Linked DNA regions of Stegostoma tigrinum. The protein of the gene in region 1 interacts with the protein of each later gene in a pairwise test. Links are inferred from orthologs where the notes say so. Each region holds a gene or a part of one and is shown on either strand. Other genes may lie near its edges. The genes, in order: oprm1, ranbp9 and gap junction alpha-4 protein-like.

Region 1 (7,658 bases):
AGTATCACTGTCTCAAAATCATTCCCTAATAGCACTGTGGCTCTACCTACATCAAAGGAGCTACAGCAGTTCAAGAAGACACTCACCATCTCCTCTTCAGGTGCAATCTGCTTTAAAATGCCTCTTAATGTTTATTGCTTTGATCCATATTTTGATCATTTGTCCTCGTATCTTTGTAGTTGAGTTGGTATCAAATGTTACTTTGTAATCCTCTTCTAAAGCACCTTGTGATCATTTCATTTTGATACAATTTGCTATATAAATGTAGAGTAATGGAGCTGTACAGTATAGAAACAGATCCATCAGTCCAATTTGTCAATGCTGATTAGATATCCGAAATTAATCTACTTCTATTTGTCAGCATTTGATCTATATCCCTCCAAAGCCTTCCCATTCATATACCCTTCCAAATGCCTTTTAAATGCTGTAATTGTGCTAGCCTCCACCACTTCCTCTGACAGCTCATTCCATATATACACCACCCTTTGCACGAAAAAGTTGCTCTTTGATCTCGTTTAAAGCTTAAACTTATGCCCTCTCGTTTTGGGGTCCCTCACCCCGAGAAGAAGTCCTTGTCTACTCATCCTATTTATGCCCCTCATGATTTTATAAACCTCTATCGGGTCATCCCTCAGCCTCCGACGCACCATGGAAAATAGCCCCAGATTATTCAGTCTTTCTCTATAGCTCAAACTCTCCAACTCTGGCAATATCCTTGAAAATCTTTCTGAGCACTTTCAAGTCTCACAACATCCTTCCCATAGCAGAAAGACCTGAACTGAACACAGTTTTCCAAAAGCGGCTGAACCAACGTCTGGTACAGTCACAACATGACTTCCCAATTAAGAGATAACGAAGTGTAGATCTGGATGAACACAGCAGGCCAAGTAGCATCTTAGGAGAACAAAAGCTTATGTTTCAGGCCTAACCTGAAGAAGTTACCCTCCTGCCTCTGAAGAAACCTTTTCTGATGAAGGGTCTAGGCCCAGAACATCAGTTTTTGAGCTCCTAAGACGCTGCTTGGCCTGCTGTGTTCATCCAGCTCCACACTTTGTTATCTCGGATTCTCCAGCATCTGCAGTTCCCATTATCTATGACTTCCCAATTCCTGTACTCAATGCACTGACCAGTAAAGGCAAGCACACCAAAGAACTTCTTCACTATCCTGTCTATCTGCGACTCCACTTTCAAGGAACTATGAACCTGCACTCCAAGGACTTTGTTCAACAACACTCCCCAGGGTCTTACCATTAAGTGTATTAGTCCTGCCCTCATTTGCCTGTCTAAAATGCAGCACCTTACATTTATCTGAATTAAGCACCATCAGCCACTCCTTGGGTCATTGGCTCTTCTGATCACCATCCCATTTTTCTCTGAGGTAATGTTCTTCCCTGTCCACCACACCTCTAATTTTGGCATCATCTTCCAATTTACTAACCGTACCCCTGATGATCACATCCAAATCATTTGTATAAATGATGAAAAGTAGTGAATTGAGCAGCAATCCTCCTGGCACACCGCTGGTCACAGGCCTCCAGTCTGAAAGGTAACCCTCCACCACGTCCCTCTGTCTCCCACCTTCGAATCAATTCTATGCCCAAATGTCTAGTCTTCCTTGTTTTCTGTGAGATCTAACCTCCCTAAACAGTCTACTCACAGAACCTTGTTGAATGCCTTACTGAAGTCCATATAGATCATGTCCAATGCTCTGCCTTCATCAATGCTCTTTGTTACTTCTTCATAAAACTCAATCAAGTTAGTGAGACATGACTTCCCATGCACAAATCCATGCTGACAATCCCTAATCAGTCCTTGCCTTTCCAAATACATATAAGCCCTGTCTACCAGAATCCTCTCCAACAACTTGCTCACCACTGATGTCAGGCTCAGTGGGCTATAGATCCTGGCTTTTCCTTCCCACCTTTTTGAATAAGAGCAACAGATTAGCCAAACTCCAGTCTTCCAGCACCTCACTTGTGGTTATTGATGACAGAAATATCTCAGCAAGGGGCCCAGCAATCACTTCCTGAGCTTCCCACAGAGTTCTAGGATACACTGGATCAGGCCCCAGGGATTTATCCACTTTTATGCATTTTCAGGTGTCCAGCACCCCCTCCTCTGTAATATGGTCATTTTTCAAGAAGTTGTTCTTTATTTCTCGAAGTTCTTTAGCTTCCATAGTCTTCTCCACCATAAACACTGATGCAAAATACTTGTTTAGTGTCTGATCTATCTCCTGTGGTTCTACCCTTAGGCAGCCTTGCTGATCTTTAAGGGCCCTATTCATTTGCTGGTGACTCTTTTGCCTTAATGTATTTGTAGAATCCCTTTTGATTCTCCTTAACTCTATTTGTCAAAAGCTACCTCATGTCCCCCTTTTGGCTTTCTGATTTTCCTCTTAAGTATACTTCTACTGGATTTACTTAATCCCTGCAATCGATACCTGACATATGCTTCCTTCTTTATCTTGACCAAAATTTCAATTTCTCTAATCATCCAGCATTCCTTACACCTACTGACCTTGCCCTTCACCCAAACAGTAACATACTGTCTCTGGACACCTGGTATCTCATTTTTGAAGTCTTCCCATTTTTCAACCATCCCTTTACTTGGGAATATCTGTCCCCTATTAACTTCTGAAAGTTCTTGCCTAATGCCATCAAAACTAGCCTTCTTCCAATTTAGAACTTTAAACTTAAGATCCAGTCTATCCTTTTCCATCATTATCTTAAAACTAATAGAACTATGATCACTGGTCCCAAAGTGCTCCCCCACTCACACCTCAGCCATCTGCTCATAATTTGTTGTTAAACATTATAACTAAATCCACTTTCGCTGCCCTTTCAGAATAGTCCATTCCAGATCACAACAACTCACTACATAAAAGAAAATATGATCATTTCCCCTCTGGTTCCTTTTTCAATTATCTTCAACATCAAAAAGAGAGTAGAATGACAAAGTTGAATGGAACAAATCTCTACACAATAAGTTGCCAATCACTCTGTTTCAAAGAAATCAAGTATGTGATAGAAGGTAGCAGATGTCTTTCAGAATTCTCTACCTGTTCTCAATGGCAAGCACCACTTGAATGAGATTAAATTAGTTCCATGTCTTAGCAAAGCTATCTTCCTCTCTCCCCGCATAGAATGACTCATTCTCAGTCTTCAGAACTATCTGAGATCAAGAAGGAGAATTTTGTTGCAGCCTTTTGGATGATGCATGTCACTGAGGTTGCCTGAGGAAGTCAAAGATGCCTTTAACAATCTCAATGAAACTTTGCCAGGCAGACATCTACAACAGAGAAAGCAAAGCTTTCAAATCTAAGAGGGAACTAAGAAATGTGGGTAGTCCATAGCAGGTTGCTGAACATGTAGGAAGAAAATAGGCATGTCACTGAGTTTGGGGGGAGGTGGAAGGGTAGATAACCCATCACCCTGTGTTATCAATGATTTGGTGGATAATGTTGTTATGTCTGCGTCAGAAGGTTGTTTAGTTCAGATTTCAAACTGCTGGCCTTGAGCACATGACCTAATTTGACACAGGCAGTGCTGAACTACCAAAGTTCTGCTTTTCAGGTATAACATGCAAAAAAACAGGCGAATATAAATAATCTATGGTTATTTCAAGATGCTTGTGAGACCATGTTATACATAAATTGACTGCCTTGGTTCCTTCATTCTAATAGTGACTACAAATTTTAAAAAAACTTCCTTGATTATGAAATGCTTTGGGATGTCCTGAATCCCTGAAAGATGCTATAGAAATGCCAGTCTTCCATTAATTTTCTTTTAACTCAGATGGTTTGCATCCTCCAAAGTGTCAAATCCTTTGCATTTATCTTACATAGTTGTTTAATGACCTGCAAGTTACAGATCCTGCACCTATCTGTTCAGGAAGGTTTGGGGTGCACAGTGTACAGCAATGAATGATTGTGAACTGTTCTCTTCTCAAAACAGTAATCTCCACACATTCTAAGGATTCACATAAGTGGCACTTAATGAATATGGCAGTCAACTGCTTGATTATTTATATGAAAATTTCCTTGTAAATGTCAACGGAAGGAAGCCACAGGGCCAAGGACCAGCCACAAAGCACAATAACCCACGTGTCATGATGAAATGACCGTATTTGTGACTGTGGCAGAAACTGTCTGTTTAACATAATAAACCCTTTTCCAATCACCCAACTGTGCATCACCTTCAACTGAAAATCCATTCCAATGTCTTCAATTCCATTGAATCCCCAGCTCCCTCCTGGATGAATTTCATCTCACTGTATCAAGGGCTGACTTCTCAAGCGTCATGGGACAGAGCTATTGCTGAGGACGCTTTAGTTTAACGCCTCTCTCTCTCTGTTCTGTGTCCTTAAACCCCATCCAGTAACTTCCCGGTTGTTCGGACTCCTAGCCCCCGTTGCATTGCAGCCGGCGTTGTTTCAGCACCATGGACAGCGCAGAGCCCGCTCCGGTGCTCAGTTGATACCTTTAACTGATACTGCGGCCAGGTGCTGGCTCCGACACTCCAATCACAGGCGAGGGGAATGGGGAGGGGTTGACGTCAGCCCCCTCCAATAAAGCGGCGAATCACGTCCAGAATAAAAAAAAATCAGACGAGGTGGAGATGGATCAACCAGTGCCACAGACAGCCTGGATGCCCAGGCACCAACAGTGTTCCCTTCGCATATAACGTGAGGAACGCTGAGCTTCTCGCTACTGCTGCCCTGAGTGAGCTCAATTCACCCAGAGCATTGCACTGACCAGGAGGTGCGTCGCACTTATCACATCTGAGGATCTGCTGAAGTTTTGAATCAACAGTGCTCCTTTTTTTAATTTGAAAAAAATCCCTTACGTTCTGCTAAAAACAAAAGAAAAACATTGCAATGGAGCTACTCGCCCAGCCCTGCATTGATCTAGCTGCCAACGGGTCCCAGCTCTGCCAGACTAGCCTGACCACCATGAATTCCAGCCTGGGCTCAGCCAACTGGTCATATCTCTGCATCAACTCGAGCTCGAACCCGTGTAACGGCACCGAGAACGTCCCTCTGAGCAAGAGTTCGGCTTCAATCATCATCGCCATCATCATCACTGCTCTTTACTCCATTGTCTGTGTGCTGGGACTGGTGGGCAACGTCCTGGTCATGTATGTGATTGTCAGGTAACGTACAGTCTCAACTCCAAGACATCCGTCCTTCCCCTCTCGCTGCCTCTCTATCTGTGTGTCTTTCCGTCTGTCTGTCTCTCTCTCTCTCTCTGGCTCTCTCGCGAAACCTCTGTCAGCATCAATGGATTTTGACTAGAGTACCATCTCTCACTCGCCTCACTTCATTGATTGGTAGTATTGGCGTCTAACTTCAGTACAATGTTCTTGTTTACATATAAGCCAATGTGCATAACCTTACGAACTACTGCACATTCAATGTTGATGCATGGATTTGAGAGGTTCGGCACAGTTCAATTTCGTAGAGATGAATTGCGTGAATTTCACGTTAATAACTGCGTATCTGTGGACTGATTGAATGTTTATGGATTAATAGCTGTATTTAATAGATATCTGTGGGGCGGGATGGGTTTGCCACTTGTCTTAGTTGCTCAAACAGCGCCATCTAACCGGTAAGTGTGGGAATGCAGCGTCTAAAGAACCCTCAGATGGACCCTCGTTTCAAATCGTGCAGTCAATCCTCAACGTACATTTTTACTTCTTTATAAACTCCTTTCTCACGTTTTCAATAGGAACTACCTTTAAGCGCTCCTCAAAACCTAATTACAACTCCTCCACTCTCCTCTCACCAACACCTCTCCCCAACCCCATCCATATTCACTGGTGAAACTCTAGTGCTATCCCTGAGGGAAGGACAAAATTGACATCGTGACATACTGATAGAGAAAATCACACATGCTTCCTCCTTTCAACCAACTGCATTCTAACACCGGCGTGGCATCCAACTCCACCCCAGTCTGCAGACCAGGTCATCAAGAGCCGAAGGAAGATGACACAGTCTCAGGCTATCAGCAAATTTGAATGACTCGATATTTCAATCTGAGACAACAACAGAGAATGCCAGAAAAACTCAGCAAATCTGGCAGCACATCCGTAGAGAGAGGATCCGAGTGAATAGTTTGAGGTTCGTATGACTTGTTCACACCGAAAGGTGCTGCAAAAAAGGTTCTTGTTCTCTTTTCCTATTCTCGAGTAATAATAGCTCTATTACAATTTAATAACCATCCAAACCCACCCACCACTCAATATCCTTTTTTTTAATTCACTCATGGGATGTGGATATAGCTGGGCCAGCCAACATTTATTGCCCATCCCTAGTTGCCCTTGAGAAGGTGGTAGTGACCTGCCTTCTTGAAACAATGCTGTCCATGTGCTGTAGATAGACCCACAAAACCCTTAGGGAAGGAATTCCAGAATTTTGAACTAGTGACAGTTAAGAAACAGCAATATATTTCCAAGTCAGGATGGTACATGGCTTAGAAGGAACTTGTAGGTGGTGATGTTCCTATGTCCTTCTAGATGAAAGTGGTTATGAGGTTGGAGTGTGCTGTCTGACCATTTTTGGTGAATTTCTGCACTGTATCTTGTCGATAGTACACATTTCTGCTTCTGAGCATCAGAGGGGAGGGGCGTGGATGTTTGTGGATGTCATGCCAATCAAGCAATAGACAATAGACAATAGGTGCTGGAGTAGGCCATTCAGCCCTTCAAGCCAGCACCACCATTCATTATGATCATGGCTGATCATCCACAATCAGTACCCTGTTCATGCCTTATCCCCATAACCCTTGATCCCACTATCTTTAAGACCTCTATCCATCTCTTTCTTGAAAATATCCAGAGAGTTGGCCTCCACTGCCTTCTGGGGCAGAGCATTTCATATATCCACCACTCTCTGGGTGAAGAAGTTTTTCCTCAACTCTGTTCTAAATGGCCTAACCCTTATTTTTAAACTGTGTCCTCTGGTCCTGGACTCACCCATCAGCGGAAACATGCTTCCTGCCTCCACAGTGTCCAATCCCTTAATAATCTTATACGTCTCAATCAGATCCCCTCTCATCCTTCTAAACTCAAGGGTATACAAGCCCAGTCGCTCCAATCTTTCAACATATGATAGTCCCGCCATTCCGGGAATTGACCTTGTGAACCTACGCTGCACTCCATCAATAGCAAGAATGTCCTTCCTCAAATTGGGAGACCAAAACTGCACACAATACTCCAGGTGCGGTCTCACCAGGGCCCTGTACAGCTGCAGAAGGACCTCTTTGCTCCTATACTCAATTCCCCTTGTTATGAAGGCCAGCATGCCATTAGCTTTCTTCACTACCTGCTGCACCTGCATGCTTGCTTTCATTGACTGATGTACAAGAACACCTAGACCTCGTTGTGCTTCCTGGATGGTGTCAAGTTTCTTGAGTGTTGTTGGGGCTGCATTCATCCAGGCAAATGGGAAGCATTCCATCACACTCCTGATTTGTGCCTTGTCGATGGTGAACAGGCTTTGGGGAGTCAGGAGGTGAGTTATTAATTGTAGGATTCCTAGTATCTGATCTGATCTTGTAACCATTGTGTTTATGTGGTGAGTCCAGTTGAGTTCAATGTTAATGCCAAAGATGTTGATTGTAAGGTCACACCATTAAATGTGAAGGGACGGTAGTTACA
Region 2 (7,694 bases), on another chromosome or scaffold:
AGGTGAAAGTACAGTTAACAAGATTGCACCTTTTCAGGTACATTATCTTTGTGAAAGTGACTACTCAATGGGCAAGTCTCATGGGTGACCATAGTATATATTTTACTGTATAATTCATTTTTATTTCACAAACGGGTTTCTGCTATGTTACAATATCACATTAAATCATGAAGGTCTACTCAGAAGAATTAGGAACTGGCATAACGAGTGGAGGCAACATAAGGAACTTGTTCTGATGGCCAGTGGTGGCAGTGGGAGAGAGTTCTGAGAGCCTGAGGAAGCAATGGCACTGAGACTTGAGGCTTTGGGGAGGGAGGCCCACTTACGGGGAAAAAGACTGCCTTATGGAGATAAGACTTTTAGATCTGGATGCTTCATATTACTTTCTTGGCTCCTGTTTTTTTTTTGTATTTCTGCTTTTTTAAAAATTCTGTTTTTTGCCTCTTAGTTTTGTTTTAAATTTGAGGTTTTGTATGTCGGATTGTGCCAGAGAAGGGTGACTTTGTACACTTTTTACTGTATTCCAATACTTCTGTATTTGAGTACATGACAATAATTGGGAAACCCCATGATATTCAATAGAAGTTATTGGTTTTCAGTGAAAATTCTGGTCATTGTTGGTTTTGACATAATAATTGGAGCAGTGAATGCTGGCCTACTTGACTACTGAGATCAGTGTTTCAGTCTAGAAATCTCCATTTATGTTGGTAGCAGCCCTATCAGTTTTGTAGTAACAACCTCAGTGATTGAGCCAATGATCAGTGGTCTAACAATGATGTAACTGCACCAAACTGCTCATTTTTAAATTGACTGTTATTGATTAGGAGTGTGCTTCAAAGGGCAGTACCTGCACACAAACACACCATTTAGTAGCAGAATACTGAAAGATGTGCACAAGTTGTTCTGCTTAACTCCCACTGCTACCACAGGCCCTCACAACTCACATTCTATGTTGCCTCCACACCTTATGCCAACTCCTAATTCTTCCGAGTAGGCGTTCCGGATATAATGTGATATTGTAACATAGAAGAAATCATTACTGATAATGATATGATTTGTGAAATAAAAATGAAAATATGTATTCATTGAAATATGTATTGTGTCACCTATTGGACATGACCCATTGAGTAAGTCATTTTAAGAAAGACGGCCTTGTTAGCAGTACTTTCATCTAATCATGCCAGTTTTATTTAGAATGAAGTCAGTATTATGAACATTAGAAATGTGACTGACTTGAAATAGACTGGTAAAAACAGCCAGAAGACAAGCACTCAATGGAAGAGTAGAAGATTAATCCTACTTATCCCTTGATCAACAAAATTTTTTCAGTTTTATGAATGATCATCTCAACCTAAAACACCAGCCTTGTTTTTCCAATGGGACGCTTCCTAACCTGCTTTATAGCTCCAGGTCTTTTTTTTGTATTATTTCAGATTTTTGGTATCAGGCTGTATTTTGCTTTTGTTTTACAAAGCAGATTAACTGGTTGTTATCACATTGCTACTGGGAGCTTACTGTGTGCAAGTTGATTGCCCATTTCATGCATTTTAACAGCAAATGTAAATGGAATTAATGTAGTTTGGTGTTTGTTGGTCAGCATAGAGTTGCCAACAAAATTCCAATTTTTCAAGGATTAGGATTTGTTTAACCAATTTTAAAACTGAATTGATTCGCTTTTATTTTGCAACTGCTGGCAAAAAAGAATTCTACAGGTCAAGCTATGCTATAGGCTGCTGGAGCTTCAGCTAAATTACTTGCATCATTAACATTTCTTAACCAAATCCAAGCTCACTTCCAATATTTATAGAGTTAAATACAGCTCTTTTTATCTCTTCAAACTAGAATTCAATTTCCCACTGGAGTGAATAATTTAATTCAACAATCTAAATGAAAAGAGCCAACTGTTGGTTGTGGAAACCCAGAATAAAATACTGCTAGGATGAAAACAGCTCTAATTGGTAGCCTCACCTCTGATCTAGAGGGTTCCTGAACCAGGTCTAGAATGCATGATGTGGGCTGATGCTCCAGTGTAGTATGAATGCTCTGATGCGTTCACCTTTGCCATCCATTTGAAATCTAAAATAAAGGTTTTATTTGCGTGTCCTGCAAGTCATTTCAAGAAACCATGGCACTGAAGAGTAGGGAATTCTCCCGATGCCTTGACAAAGTTTTCTGTCAACCAACACCAAAAAAAAATCAATGGTCATTAATTTCATTGTCAATGGACGGTAGTGGTCATTAGTAACTGTTCCATTTTGCTTTTCATAAATCACAAATTTCAAAAAGCACTTGCACATTTTTTCCACTTGGCAAAGTACAATCAAATTCAAGCGGCCATTTATCAACCATCTCTAGACCTAGAAAGAGGTTAACAAAGTCCCACTGATTGTGCTGTTATGTGATAATTCAATCTCCTGAAGTGCTTGTTTTAAGAGTAAAATAAGATGCATATTCTAGAATTTTATTACCTGTTTTATATAATGCTTGGAGTGATGAATGATATGTGATATGTGGAATTCACCAAAAATCCTCAGATGACCACTTCCATCTAGAAGGACAAGGTAGCAGATATGTGGGAACACCATCAACTTCAAGGTCCCCTCCAGACCACTCCCCATCCTGACATGGAAATATTTTACTATTCCTTCATTATCTCTGGGTCAAACCCCTGAAATTCCTTCCCCAATAGCATTGTAGTTCAACCCACAGCAAGTATATTGGACTAGTTCAAGAAGCTGCTTACCACTGCCTTCTCGAGTGCAACTAGGGATGGACAATAAATGCTGTCCAGGCAGTGACATCCACATCCCACAAATGAATTTTAAAAAGTGTAAAATTTGCCACAGCAGAGAAAGTAATACTAAATTCCAACTCAAACACTAGTTGCCATGCAATCTAGTTGCTCAGTGTCAAGTGTGAGACCAGCCAGAACTTTCACCAACTAAATATAAATGAGGCCAAGTTGTTTTTGTTGCAAATAGAGAGACCTAAGGGTTCAGGTACACAGTTCTTTGAAATTGGCATCATGGGTAGACAGCATGGTGAGGAAGGCATTTGGCATGCTTGTCTTAATTAGTCAGAGCATTTGGTACAGGAGTTGTCGTGTTGCACCTGTACAAGACATTGGTGAGGCCACTTTTGGAGTACTGTGTACAGTTCTAGTGGCCCTAGTATAGTAAGGATATTATTAAATTGGAAAGGGTGCAAAAAAGATTTACCAGGTTGTTACCAGGACAGGAGAGTTTGAGTTATTACAAGAGGCTGGATAGGCTGAGACTTTTTTTCCTAAGAGTGTAGGAAGTTGGGGGATGACCTTAGAGGTTGATGAAATAATAATCAAGGCCTTTTCCCTAGATGAGGGGAATTAAAAACTAGGGGGCGTAAGTTTAAGGTGAGAGGAAAAAGATTTAAAAGGTACATGAGGAGCAACTTTTTCACACAGAGGGTGGTTCATATGTGAATGAACTGTCTGGTGAAGTGGTTCATGCAGGTACAGTTATAACATTTAAAAGACATTTGGACAGGTAGACAAAAAGGAAAGGTTTAGAGAAATGTGGGTAAAACACAGACAAATGCTTAATTTGGGAAATCTGTTTGGCATGGACAAATTGGACTGAAGGGTCTGTTTCCGTGCTGTGTACCCAATGACCCTATGACTCAGAGATGGTGGGCTTAAGGGCCTGTTTCTATGCTGCATGCCTCTGTGACTCTACAGACATTTCAAGTATTCTTAAACTATGTTATAAAGTGCTCTGTAATGTACTATGATCTTTGAAGGTCCAAAATAGACATTATTTTATTTCTTTTTGAAACACAGCAAAAGCAGACACCACCATCTCAAGTGGTGTCAATGAATCTCCAATCTCTTGGGTCTCAGAAAAAATGCTGTTAATTACTGCAGATACCCCTCCAGCAGTGCTGCTATCCAAGCCTTTATCTTGCATACCTGATCTCACTCTTATCCTAATTCCTATTACAACTCTGCTCCAAGCATAACAATGATCTTTGTGTCGTTTGCCATTTCAATTTTCCAAATTCTGACCATCTTGACTTTCCTGTCTCTGGGCAGCCATAGCATATTAATTAAATTCAATGTAAGCTCAAACAACACCACATTTCTGGACTTGGCAGTTTACAGCCTTCTGAGCACAAATTTGGATGATGATCGATTCAGAGAAAGTAGGAACTACCGATGCTGGAGAATCTGAGGTGACAAGGTGTGGAGCTGGACGAACACAGTAGTCTAAAGCAGCATCAGAAGAGCACGAAAGCGAAACGTTATCTTTCCTGCTCGAGGCTGCTGTGTTCATCCAGCTCTACACCTTGTTAACTCTTATGTTTAGATGATGGTCAGTGCTTCTTTTTTCCAACTGATGTATATCTGTTTTATTCCTTCACTTTCCACTCTGATGTTCAGCCATGCACAACTCGTCTGTACACATCTTTTGCTTCTTTACCCATTATTGTGGAATGTTTTGCCATTTAATCCCTCCTCACCCCTTATCCCCACCTCTCCAATTCTGCATTGCTTCACTCCCTCACCCTGTCTATTGCATTCATTCCTTACTCGCCTCCCTCCGGAGACCCCCCTCATAGGAAGTTAGCCTCTCTGCAGCATTTCCCCTGCCCCGAGCTTAGCCCCGCCCCCCAGCCGCGATGGTTTAGCGTGGGTGGCCAATGAGGAGCGGGTTGGGCAGCGGCGGCCTGTCAGTGAGCGGAGACAGGCGGACATAGAAGAGAGTCACTCAGTCAGATTCGGATGCAGCAGCGACTGAGTTGGGTTGGAGCTGGAGTTGGGGACGGGGACGGACCGGGTGGAGGGAGGCAGGCTGGCTGTCGGTCGGTCGGGCTCTCAGTGAACGAACGGGCTGAGGGCTCATAAGGCGCGGCCGTGGAAGGGAGACGGCATCGGTCGCCGTTCCGGGTTTCCAAGTCTCGTCATCCGGGGCTCGGAGCCTGATCCAGACCGTCTCCGGCCCATTATACATCCACCCAGAGCTCAGGCTCCGGGTTTGGCCTAACCCCTCCTCCCGTCCTTCACAGATCCGCACCCATGGCTGGGCTGTCGGCGGCGCACGGAGAGTCGGCACTCAACCTTCAAGAGAAGGAGCTCACCGACCGCTTCAAGCGGCTCTACCCCGCTGTCAACGAGCAGGAGTCGCCGCTGCCGAGATGCTGGAGCCCAAAGGATAAGTACAGCTACATCGGCCTGTCTCAGAACAACCTGCGGGTCCATTATAAAGGTAAGCGGATGGCCCCTGGCACCCAGGGACGTCTTGACACTGGTACTGAGCCCAGCTAAAGAAAAGGCAAAGAGGGTGGATGGCAGCTACAGTTTATAGGCACCGACTACCAGGCCCCTGGCCTTACATAGCAACAGTTAACACTGATACGAGAGGCCACCGAATCCCACCAAATACCTATACAGGGGTGTCATATAGCCACATTAGTCACATAGAACTATCTGGAATAAGATGAGTGCCAAGACTGATTACATGCACCGACTGTGAACAGGCCAAGACTTGTACACCACAGTTTGGAACATACACTTCCGTACACAGTGAGGAAATGAGTTGGGGAGTTGGGGGTGGGGCGAGCGGTGTGGCGGGCGCGGTGGTGACGGGCCTTGAGCACTATGTCCATAAATGACATCTGGGCCATGGCCTGTTGAGATTATTTGTTGAATACTATCAACAGAATTAAATACAGTTGAAATATTTGCTTTTAATTGAGTGTGAAAGAGCCCTCGCGGTAGAGAAAGATCTGATCTTAAAACTTATCTAACATTTTAAAAATACACGTAAGTAGAAAACAAAGCTAGTTCACGAAAGATCTCCATAGAGATAGACATGACCCTAACTAGTCAATGATTGTGAATTTTGGGTCACCAGTTAACTATTATTGAGAGTATGTGTGTAAGATACTTCTAAAACGGACATGGATTGTAATAAATCCAATGTGTGGTAGAGGGACTGTTTTGCAAGTGTCTATAACATTCAATATATAAACGATACATTATGTGAACAACTGGCAACTTTAGTTTTAAAAAAAACAAAATGAAGCCCTTTAGCCTCCAACCAGCAAAAACAAATCAGTATCGACTGTTAAGGAAGAGCAATGGATTGCAACGAGTTGCAATGTGACCTTTTCCCATCTTTTCAAAAATGAGGACTAGAGAATGACCTAAGTTTTAATTCGGTTTGAATAGAATGAGTGACTGATTCCCATTGAAAATGTTTGTTTGTGTCCTGAGTAAGAGGAGATTGGGCAGTGGGCTGAGTTCTTGGGAACCTTGCATTGCAAACCCCATTGAATTTCTGTTTTCTTTGTCGAAGGATCCAAAAGCAAGGGTAGGTTGAAAACTGAGAAGAAAGAGAAAAAAGTTAGAAGCAGATTATTTCAGAACACAGCTTCTAAATATTAATTTCATGTCAGGGTGTATCTCCAAATAATATAGAATGGATGAACTGGCTTGGAGCCAAGAATTTTACAACTATAATTTTGGATATTTTTGTTCATTATGTTTGAAGTGGACTTGTTACAGTGCAAAACTGAAGCTGGTAACAAATCAATAATTTTCTTTAATATATTAACAAATCCAATCACTGCTTTGAATTCTTTGATCATATATCACAGTTTTTGTCTGTGAATCCTGGGTAACTTTATACTTACTTTCTTAATCTGTTAAGTTTACAAACTCAAATTATTGTTAAAATAACCTTAACGCTGTAGTTTCCTTTATTTATCCTGCTAAACTGTTTCTTTACAAATGTCATGCAGCCTCCTCTCCCCTGTGTACTCAGATGTCAGGGTAATATTATCTGTGCTTTTCATTTGAGGTATCATTACTCAGTGATGTCATTTAATGCAAAATGTTCCATTCTGCAGAATGACACCAAAGCATGACTGCAGTTGTTTTTCAAGTAAATTATTTAGACAGTAGAGTACTGTATCTATTGCTCCTCAGTGACCACTCTACAATAATGTTTTTGTAAGTCTTGGCATTGTCTCTGCTTAATGTTGAAGGTACCTTCAGACCTTCTCGCTAGGTTACGTCAATTGTTTGTGTTTTGCAGTGATTGAACTTAAATTTTGGAAATGAAAATCTAAAGATTAGCTGCATTTTGTTCAACCCTCATTCTTTGGTTTTGCACTCTAGGTAAATCTACTCATCTACAAATAATACCAGGAATCTTTAACTTCTGCTTGAACTATTGGGACATGATCAAATCTTGCTTTCATTCAAAGTGCAGGACTTCTGATAAAGCCTTGAGAGCACACTGAAGTCACAGCTAGCTTTTGTGCTCAAGTCCCTGAATGAGGTTTGAATTCTCAACCTTCAGAATTCAACTAAAACCAAGTTGACGCCTCGCCCATGCAGTATCCATGAAATTAATTATCCGCAGGCAGTCAGTTGGATAAAACAACATAAAGTTAGACCCTATATGACTTAATATGCCTCCAGTGTCAAAAATTTGCAGATGTTGGACTCTGTTTCTGGCATTTTCACTTACAGGTCAGCGAGTATTTGAGAATTCATACAACTTGAAATTTCAAACATTAGATTAGTAACATTTTAGAAATGTGGCCTTTCTGTGAATAAAGAGTCTATACTTGAAATTTCAACTTTTTTAAACAGATGTTTCCTGAACTAGTGACTGCTTGCAGCGATTTGTCATTTAACCCTTAAAAGT
Region 3 (7,549 bases), on another chromosome or scaffold:
AAGGCATGAGAATATATAAACTTCCAAATTCATCTGGTTTGTAACTTTAGGGAAATGATAAAATATGATAGTCTTTGGATTTGAAAGAACAAGACTTGCAAATGGCACCCACTGCTGTAATGTTAAGTGAAAATACTCCAATACAACTCCAACGGTAGCAGTTACTTGTTTCACTCTGTTGTTCTAGTATATTATGTTTTTACACTGCTGGTGTCAATCACACACCATCAAACTATCAAAAGAATGTGGCAATGATCAACCCACCTATAAGTAACCTTTACTTCCTTTTTGGCAATGAATTTATTAATTAATGTGAATTGATCATTCCACTGTGCTATTGAAAGTGGAGCATGCTGTTTGGACTAAGCTCTGAGTTCAGGCTAAGCAATCTTAAAACAACTTCTAGGCTTCTTTGCCCTTCTCCTTGGTGCAGTGTCATTTCCCATCATTTCTCATTGCGATAATGTTTTTCATGCCATGCACCCATCTGGGATCGATATCTGTAACTCTTAATTTCTTTTCAGACGAGCTAGTTACAGATTCAGCGTCTGGTTTAGATTTCTTTTGAGGGGTTTGCCACTTATCCTCAAGCAACAACCATTGTTGAAAGTTTTATTTACGGTGTTGGTCAAAGTTTTCTTGACTGCATAAGCTTTGATGGACACACAATACGTGCAGCAACTAATACTGGCATAAAATTAAGGTACTATCATCAAATCATGTAGCATAAGAGGCCATAAGGCTCATTCTGCGTAGGCAATGTCTCATGATGCTGCACTTTCCCACAGCCTTGCAAATACTTTTCAAGTGTTTACCCAATTCCCTTCTGAGTTATTAGCATATCTGCTCCCACGACCTTTTCAGTGAGTATTTTCCAGATATAACAACCTGCTGTACATTTCATTCCTTATAATGCCTCTGGGTGTTTTGTCAATTGCCTTAAATTGGCAATCTCTAGTTACCAGTACTTTCATCATTGCAAATAGTTGCTCCCTATTTAATCTAATTAAAGCATTAAATAATTTTGCACATGTATAATAAATCTTTCTGTTAATCTCTTCTGTTCTAAAAAACCTCAGCATTTCTAGAGTCTTCACATAATTGAGAACCAGAAAGCTTCTAAAGATCGGAACTGTCGGTATGAACACAAAAATTGCCTCAGGTTCTTTTTCTGCTTCAAGAAGTTTTGTTGCCATTCTCAAAACATTGATGAAGAACCATGAAGTGGATGCGTTCATCAAAATATGCTAAAATGAGGTAGTGTGACTTACCCCATGGTACATTAAAATTGCAGATGGAGCGATAGATAATTTAGGGAAAAGGTGTGCACTTTTGGGGATGGAAGCTTGATGGTTACTCTGAGACCCACAGATAGTGTGCAATGTTCAGGAAGGTTCTAATATTTATGAGGTGAAGGTAAGAGGACTGAACCATATGCCTGAATGCAGCACCAGACAGTCAGTTTTTGCTGATATTCATTGCTCTTCATTGTGAAAACCTTCATCAAATTAGCTGTAATAAGTGATCTGGGATTGGTCCACTTTCAAAAAAGAAGGGCCAGCCTTGAGGGAAGCTAGCTGTCCTGTAGTAACTACTGGTACATGCTGAGTCTTGCCCAAATGCCCAGGTTGTCTCCATCATATTATGTGCCAGGTGATGGAACAACTGTAAAGATGAGTAATTGAACTGATGTTGAAAATGACATGGGATTGCTTTTCAGTCATCACTGTATAAGTCACTGCCATGGATCCATCTTATCCATTCAATGTATCTACCTTGTCCCATGCTATGACTATATAACAGTTCCTTTGTGTGGAGTCAGAGACCATTGCTCCATGCCTCACAAGTGAGTAAAGCACTACAGAGAAATTATAGTTTTAATTGTTCTTCACTGTAACAATGGGCAAGGTGTGCCTGCTGAATCTGGATAGAGTTAGTCAAGCAAAAGAAGAATGCTATCATGTTATAAATTCAATCATTTGATGTCCAATTTTTCTCATGTCTATTCTGATTGGCACCTATGACAAGGAAGAGAGTGAATAGAGTAGGGGAAAATGCTTTGCCAAGTAAGGGTTGCCAGTTGATACTCAAATGGCTCACTTTTCAAACTGTTAGAAAGCTCCGCTGGATTTAGCACAAAGCTCTGGGAATTCCTGCAAATATTCACACCTGACCAGGTAGCAAGCCCTTCACAAAACTGGCTCAGTTTCAGTGGCTACTTGTGGGTTGTGATATTTTCCAAAGTAACAGCTAACAGAGAACGCTGGGCACTTAGTGTCATCCCGGTAACAGAAATCTTACAAACGGGTGCACCAGTAGCTCAAAAATCAGAGGAGAATGTAGAAATCTGAACAACTCAGAGACACCTCCCGGAAGGTGCCTGAAATAAAAATGATTGTGTTCCCTGTTCAGTTTCAGAACGCACGAGAAAAGTCTCAACAAAAAATTCCACACCTGCAATAACAACGAATCTCTGAAATAAACAGCATGGCAAAGACAAACTGAACGAGTCCAGTGTTACAGTCCACTTATCTCTACCTGTCAATCAGATGTAAGTTGCACTCACGGCATTAGCCTTTACATATTTACCGTGTAAGGGAAACCTAAAAAAAAATCAAATAAACTGAATATTCAACCCTGTGGAGATACGGCAATTCATTACTTTCCTCCTGAAATAGCTTCTTTTAGGCATTTCTGTTAACACTCCCATAATGATCGGTTACATAGAGACCGCCATCAGCCTCCATCCGTTAGTTTAGTAGGGACTGGAATTCAATAACTTACCAAGAGTAAGTTTATAAAAGATACAGGACGCTGTAACCCGACACCCGGCCTTCAGGATTTGTCCCGTTCTACTAGGAATGTTTCTCAGAGTTGAAACATTTTAAGGGGAAAGCTCCTCCAACGTCATCTCTGAAGTATGTTGCGGAATCAGAAGTTGTGCATTGTTTTTTTTTGACAGGAGATGTAGTTGAGCAGGAATGTATGAGTCCTGTACAGCTGACAGCTTCCAGCAACAGGAAGGAAATCAGCTGCATGAGCAAGCTCTGTCTACTTCTCCCAGGCTAACAGCTCCCAACAACACGAACTGCATTGATCCCGGTGCTCCGTGCGTTTTCTTCTGTGCAAGCAAGATTGATAGCAAATATTACAGGTCCATTGTTCTCAATCCAGCACTTATTATTGGAGGGAGACTGAGGCAAAAACAGTCTTTAGTCATAGAGGTCTACAACACAGAAAGGATGAACCTCAGCCCATCTAGTCTGCGCCCGTCAAAAATAACCATAGGGTCATAGAGAAAAACTGAAATTGCTGGGAAAGCTCAACAGGTATGGCAGCATCTGTAGGGAGAAATCAGAGTTAAAAGTTTCAGGTCCAGTGACTCAGAATCATGGAGTTGCACAACACAGAAACAGACCCTTTGTTCCAAACTGTCCGCACGGACCGGACATCGCAATCAGACCTAGTCCCATTTGCCAGAATTTGACCCATATCCCTCTAAACCCTTCCTGTTCACGTACCCATCCAGATGCCTTTTAAATGTTGTAATTGTTTCAGCCTCCACCACCTCCTCTGGCAGCTCATTCCATAGACGCACCACTCTCTGTGTGAAAAAATTATCCAAGTCCTTTTTAAATCTTTCCCCTCTCACCTTAAACCTCTAGTCTCGAACTCTCCCATCCTAGGAAAAAGACTTCAGTTATTCACCCTGTCCACCTAATGATTCTAATCCAATTTTCCAGCACTTGACCCATAGCCTTGGCATCGAAAGCGTACATCTAAATACTTCTTAAATTTTACAAGACTCTGACTCTATCATCCTTGCAGGCAGCAGGTTTTCCAGCTTCCCATCACCATCTGAATGATTTCTCCCCTCATGTCCTGTCGAAACCTCCTGCTCCTTATCTCGAATCTAGCCTCTGGTCCTTAATGGGTGTGAGAAGGTGTGGAGATGCAGAGTTGGGAATTTCACTCCGATCAGAAAAAGGTAGCCTTTTGCTTTCTTTGTTCAACCATTGATGTTGTGAGAATGCTCAAGATTTAATGCCAAATGGCCAGAAGGAGGATAAACGTTATATCAAATGCTCCAGAGAAGTCCCAAAGCATTGGTGGCACAGTGGCTCAGTGGTTAGCACTGCAGCCTCACAGCACCAGGGACCTGGGTTTGATTCCCCCCTCGGGCAACTGTCTGAGCAGAGTTTGTACATTCTCCCTGTGTTTGTGTGGGTTTCCTCTGGGTGCTCTGGTTTCCTCCTACAGTCCAAAGATGTGCAGGCTAGGTGAATTGGCCATGCTAAATTGCCCATAGTGTTCAGGGATGTGTATATTAGGTGGATTATCGGGGGATGGGTCTGGGTGGGATGCTCCAAAGGTCAGTGTGGTCTTGTTGGGCCGAAGGGCCTGTTTTTACACTGTCGGGGTTATATGATTCATTGAGCAGTGTATTGAGGAACACATCTCTAATTCATGTCAATTGGAGTTGATGTTTTGGGAAGACAATGTTATGATCAGAAGAATTTGGGAAAATGGCTCTTTGAGTACTTAAGAGTCAAATGATCTTTTCTCAACCTTGATCTTTCCTCTACTTCATACCTTGGAAAATATAAGTTGTTTCATGAAAAGTTAGTCCAATCACTGTGGCAGTCAAACTAATTCCCCATTAAACTGTGTTACACTTGCAACAATTAACCCATTCCTCAGATTAAGCTTCCTGCCCAGAACTAGATTGTAGTATTGATCTACTGTTTAAACTAATGAACATGGTGCTGCACATTCATAGCATAAAGATAGCCTGAGATTTCACATAGTACTTGGGAAATTGTGTGAACAGATGTAGGTGACCAAATCTGAAAAAGATAAATCTCAGTGAGAGAGGTCATCATCTGTGAACAACATTCAGCTGCTGAGGGGTGATTGTTGCAACTGGGCACATAAGGATCACTTTCTGAGCTCACGGACCAAAGGTCTCCAAAGTAGCCCAGGCATGAGGGGTTAGAACTGAGTGGGCCTGTATTTGTAGCTCAGTAGACATTCTTCTCTGCATGTTGATTGGTGTTATTTAGTACGATGCAGTCTGGCTGTTGTTGCTCAGGTCAGGGCCTTATTTGCACGGAATTCACTAAACTGTTCGAAAGAGGATAGAGATTGTGTAATATGGGATATACCCCTTTTGGTGCACATTTCTTTTAAGTGGCTTATTAATGAAATGCAACCAGACATGATCTGTTCCTGGAGACTGAACAAACCGGAAATCGTAATCATTGTGTCATACTCCACTGCACCCATTGTGTTGCTAAGTAGCTAAATAATGGAAAATTTAGAGCATTGGTTTTTTACAGCCTTGGTTTAAACGTGGTCAAATGAACTGAATTCCAGAAGTGAGTTGAGAATAACAGCCCTTGATATCAAGGCCAAATTTTGACCAAGTGTGGCATTGAAAAACCAAAGCAAAACTGGAATCCTTGAGTAACAGGGGGCCAAATTTCCACTGGTCGGAGTCATGAGGTTGTTGCAGGTCTATCATCTCAGTGCCAGGACATTTCTGCAGGAGTTCCTCAGGGTGGAGTCCCAGATCCAACTGCCTTCAGCTGCACAATCTTCCCTCCATCATAAGGTCCACAAATTTACACCACACAAATTCCAGGCAATGACCATCTCCAATAGGAGACAATCTAATGACTGCCCCTTGATATTTAATGGTGTAACTACCACTGAAACTGTAACCATCACTGAACTAATAACAACCTGGGGTTACCATTGACCAAAAACTCTACTGGACTCACTACCTAAACACAATGGTTACAAGAGCAGGTCAGAGGGAAGGAATGCCGAGGCGAGTAACTCAACTCCTGACTCCCCAAAAGCCTATTCACTATCTATGCCACCAAGGATCAGGTCAGGAATGTGATGAAATACTCCCCAATTACCTGGATTGCTGCAGCGCCAACAATGCACAACAGCTTGACCTCATTCAGGACAAAGCAGCCCACTTGATTGGCAGCACTACATCCACAAGCATCCACTCTCTCCACCACCAACACTCAATAGCAGTGTGTACTATCTATAAGAAGGACTGCAGAAATTCACCGAAGATCTTCAGTCAGTATCATCCAAACCTATAAACACTTTCATCTAGAAGGACAAGGGCAGCAGACATCTGGGAACATCACCATTTGCAAGTTCCCCTTCAAGCAGCTCGATACCCTAATTTGGAAGTATATTGCCAATCCTTCACTGTTGCTGAGTCAATACTGTGGAATTGTGGATCAACTACAGCAGGTGGACTACAACGGTTGAAGAAGGCAGCTCACCACCACCTTCTCAAGGCCAACCTGTGATGGGCAATAAATGCTGGCAACCAGTTACACTCATATCCTATGAATGAGTTAATAAAAAGTAATCCCCCATAAGGATGTAATCTTCCCTATGCAGTGTGAATAATTGAGTAGTTATCTTCTTTGAAGGAGAGGATAGAATATTATGCAGATGTAAAGACTCCCTCTGCTGTTGGAGATGCTATGTTTAGAATACCTTACTTAGATTTGTGAGTTGTTGAATATCTTGATTCATCCCTGGCAAGTATGCAGATTGACATGATAATTGGCTTGAGCAGTCAATACCCATATACCCTTTGTATAACATATACACAATATATTGGTGTAATGTTTTTGGTATTAGGACTTGTCTTCCTTTGAAAATTACTTGTTGCGATGTCCCAAATTTATCTCTGTATACCCAAAACTAACAAATCTTCTCAAGGATAATGGGAACTGCAGATGCTGGAGAATCCAAGATAACAAAGTGTGGAGCTGGATGAACACAGCAGGCCAAGCAGCATCTCAGGAGCACAAAAGCTGATGTTTCGGGCCTAGACCCTTCATCAGAGGACATCAGCTTTTGTGCTCCTGAGGTGCTGCTCGGCCTGCTGTGTTCATCCAGCTCCACACTTTGTTATCTTGAAATCTTCTCAGGTACTTCTTTAATCCTATCAGAACATCTGAGAATTTTGGTCTTTAGCTGTTCTTGTAGTTGTACATTCGCAAATGTTTTTATTGTCTCTGGCCAAAGTGTAGTTGGATAAATTTGAGAATGGCCTGACTGATTTCAGGGATGTTGGATCTGACATATGAGGAGAGATTGACTAGGTTGGGAATATTTTTGCTAGAATTCAGATGAATGAGGAGGATTTCATAGAGACTTATAAAATTCTAATAAGACTGGACAAGGCAGATGCAGAGATGCTGTTCCAGGGGTCACGGTATGAGGATTTGGGGTAGACGATTTAGAATGGAGTTGAGGAGACATTTCTTCGCTCAAAGAGTGGTGAGCCTGTGGAATTCATTACCATAAGAAGTAGTTGATCTCAAAACATTGAATGTATTTAAAAGGCAACACAGTGTGGAGCTGGAGGAACACAGCAGGCCAGGCAACTCAGAGGAACAGGAAAGTTGACATTTCAGGTCAGGAAGCTTCTTTCTGAAGAACTTTCCTGCTCCTCTGATGCTGCCTGGCCTGTTTTGTTCCTCCAGCTCCAAACCGTGTTCCGTCT

What was found.
Region 2: the proteins of oprm1 (region 1) and ranbp9 interact in binary tests that used the Homo sapiens proteins (3 or more experiments, as listed by UniProt). The link is inferred for Stegostoma tigrinum from reciprocal best matches to the Homo sapiens genes OPRM1 and RANBP9.
Region 3: the proteins of oprm1 (region 1) and gap junction alpha-4 protein-like interact in binary tests that used the Homo sapiens proteins (3 or more experiments, as listed by UniProt). The link is inferred for Stegostoma tigrinum from reciprocal best matches to the Homo sapiens genes OPRM1 and GJA4.

The regions. Positions count from the first base shown.
Region 1 is NC_081362.1:94,689,206-94,696,863, forward strand, and holds the start of oprm1 (mu-type opioid receptor), read left to right. Parts: upstream 1-4,627; 5' UTR 4,628-4,878; coding exon 4,879-5,153; intron 5,154-7,658. UniProt on the Homo sapiens protein: Receptor for endogenous opioids such as beta-endorphin and endomorphin. Receptor for natural and synthetic opioids including morphine, heroin, DAMGO, fentanyl, etorphine, buprenorphin and methadone.
Region 2 is NC_081355.1:38,960,773-38,968,466, forward strand, and holds the start of ranbp9 (ran-binding protein 9), read left to right. Parts: upstream 1-4,684; 5' UTR 4,685-4,775; exon of another isoform or gene 4,776-5,043; 5' UTR 5,044-5,053; coding exon 5,054-5,243; intron 5,244-7,694. UniProt on the Homo sapiens protein: May act as scaffolding protein, and as adapter protein to couple membrane receptors to intracellular signaling pathways. Acts as a mediator of cell spreading and actin cytoskeleton rearrangement.
Region 3 is NC_081377.1:16,332,473-16,340,021, reverse strand, and holds the start of gap junction alpha-4 protein-like, read right to left. Parts: upstream 3,007-7,549; 5' UTR 2,785-3,006; intron 1-2,784. UniProt on the Homo sapiens protein: One gap junction consists of a cluster of closely packed pairs of transmembrane channels, the connexons, through which materials of low MW diffuse from one cell to a neighboring cell.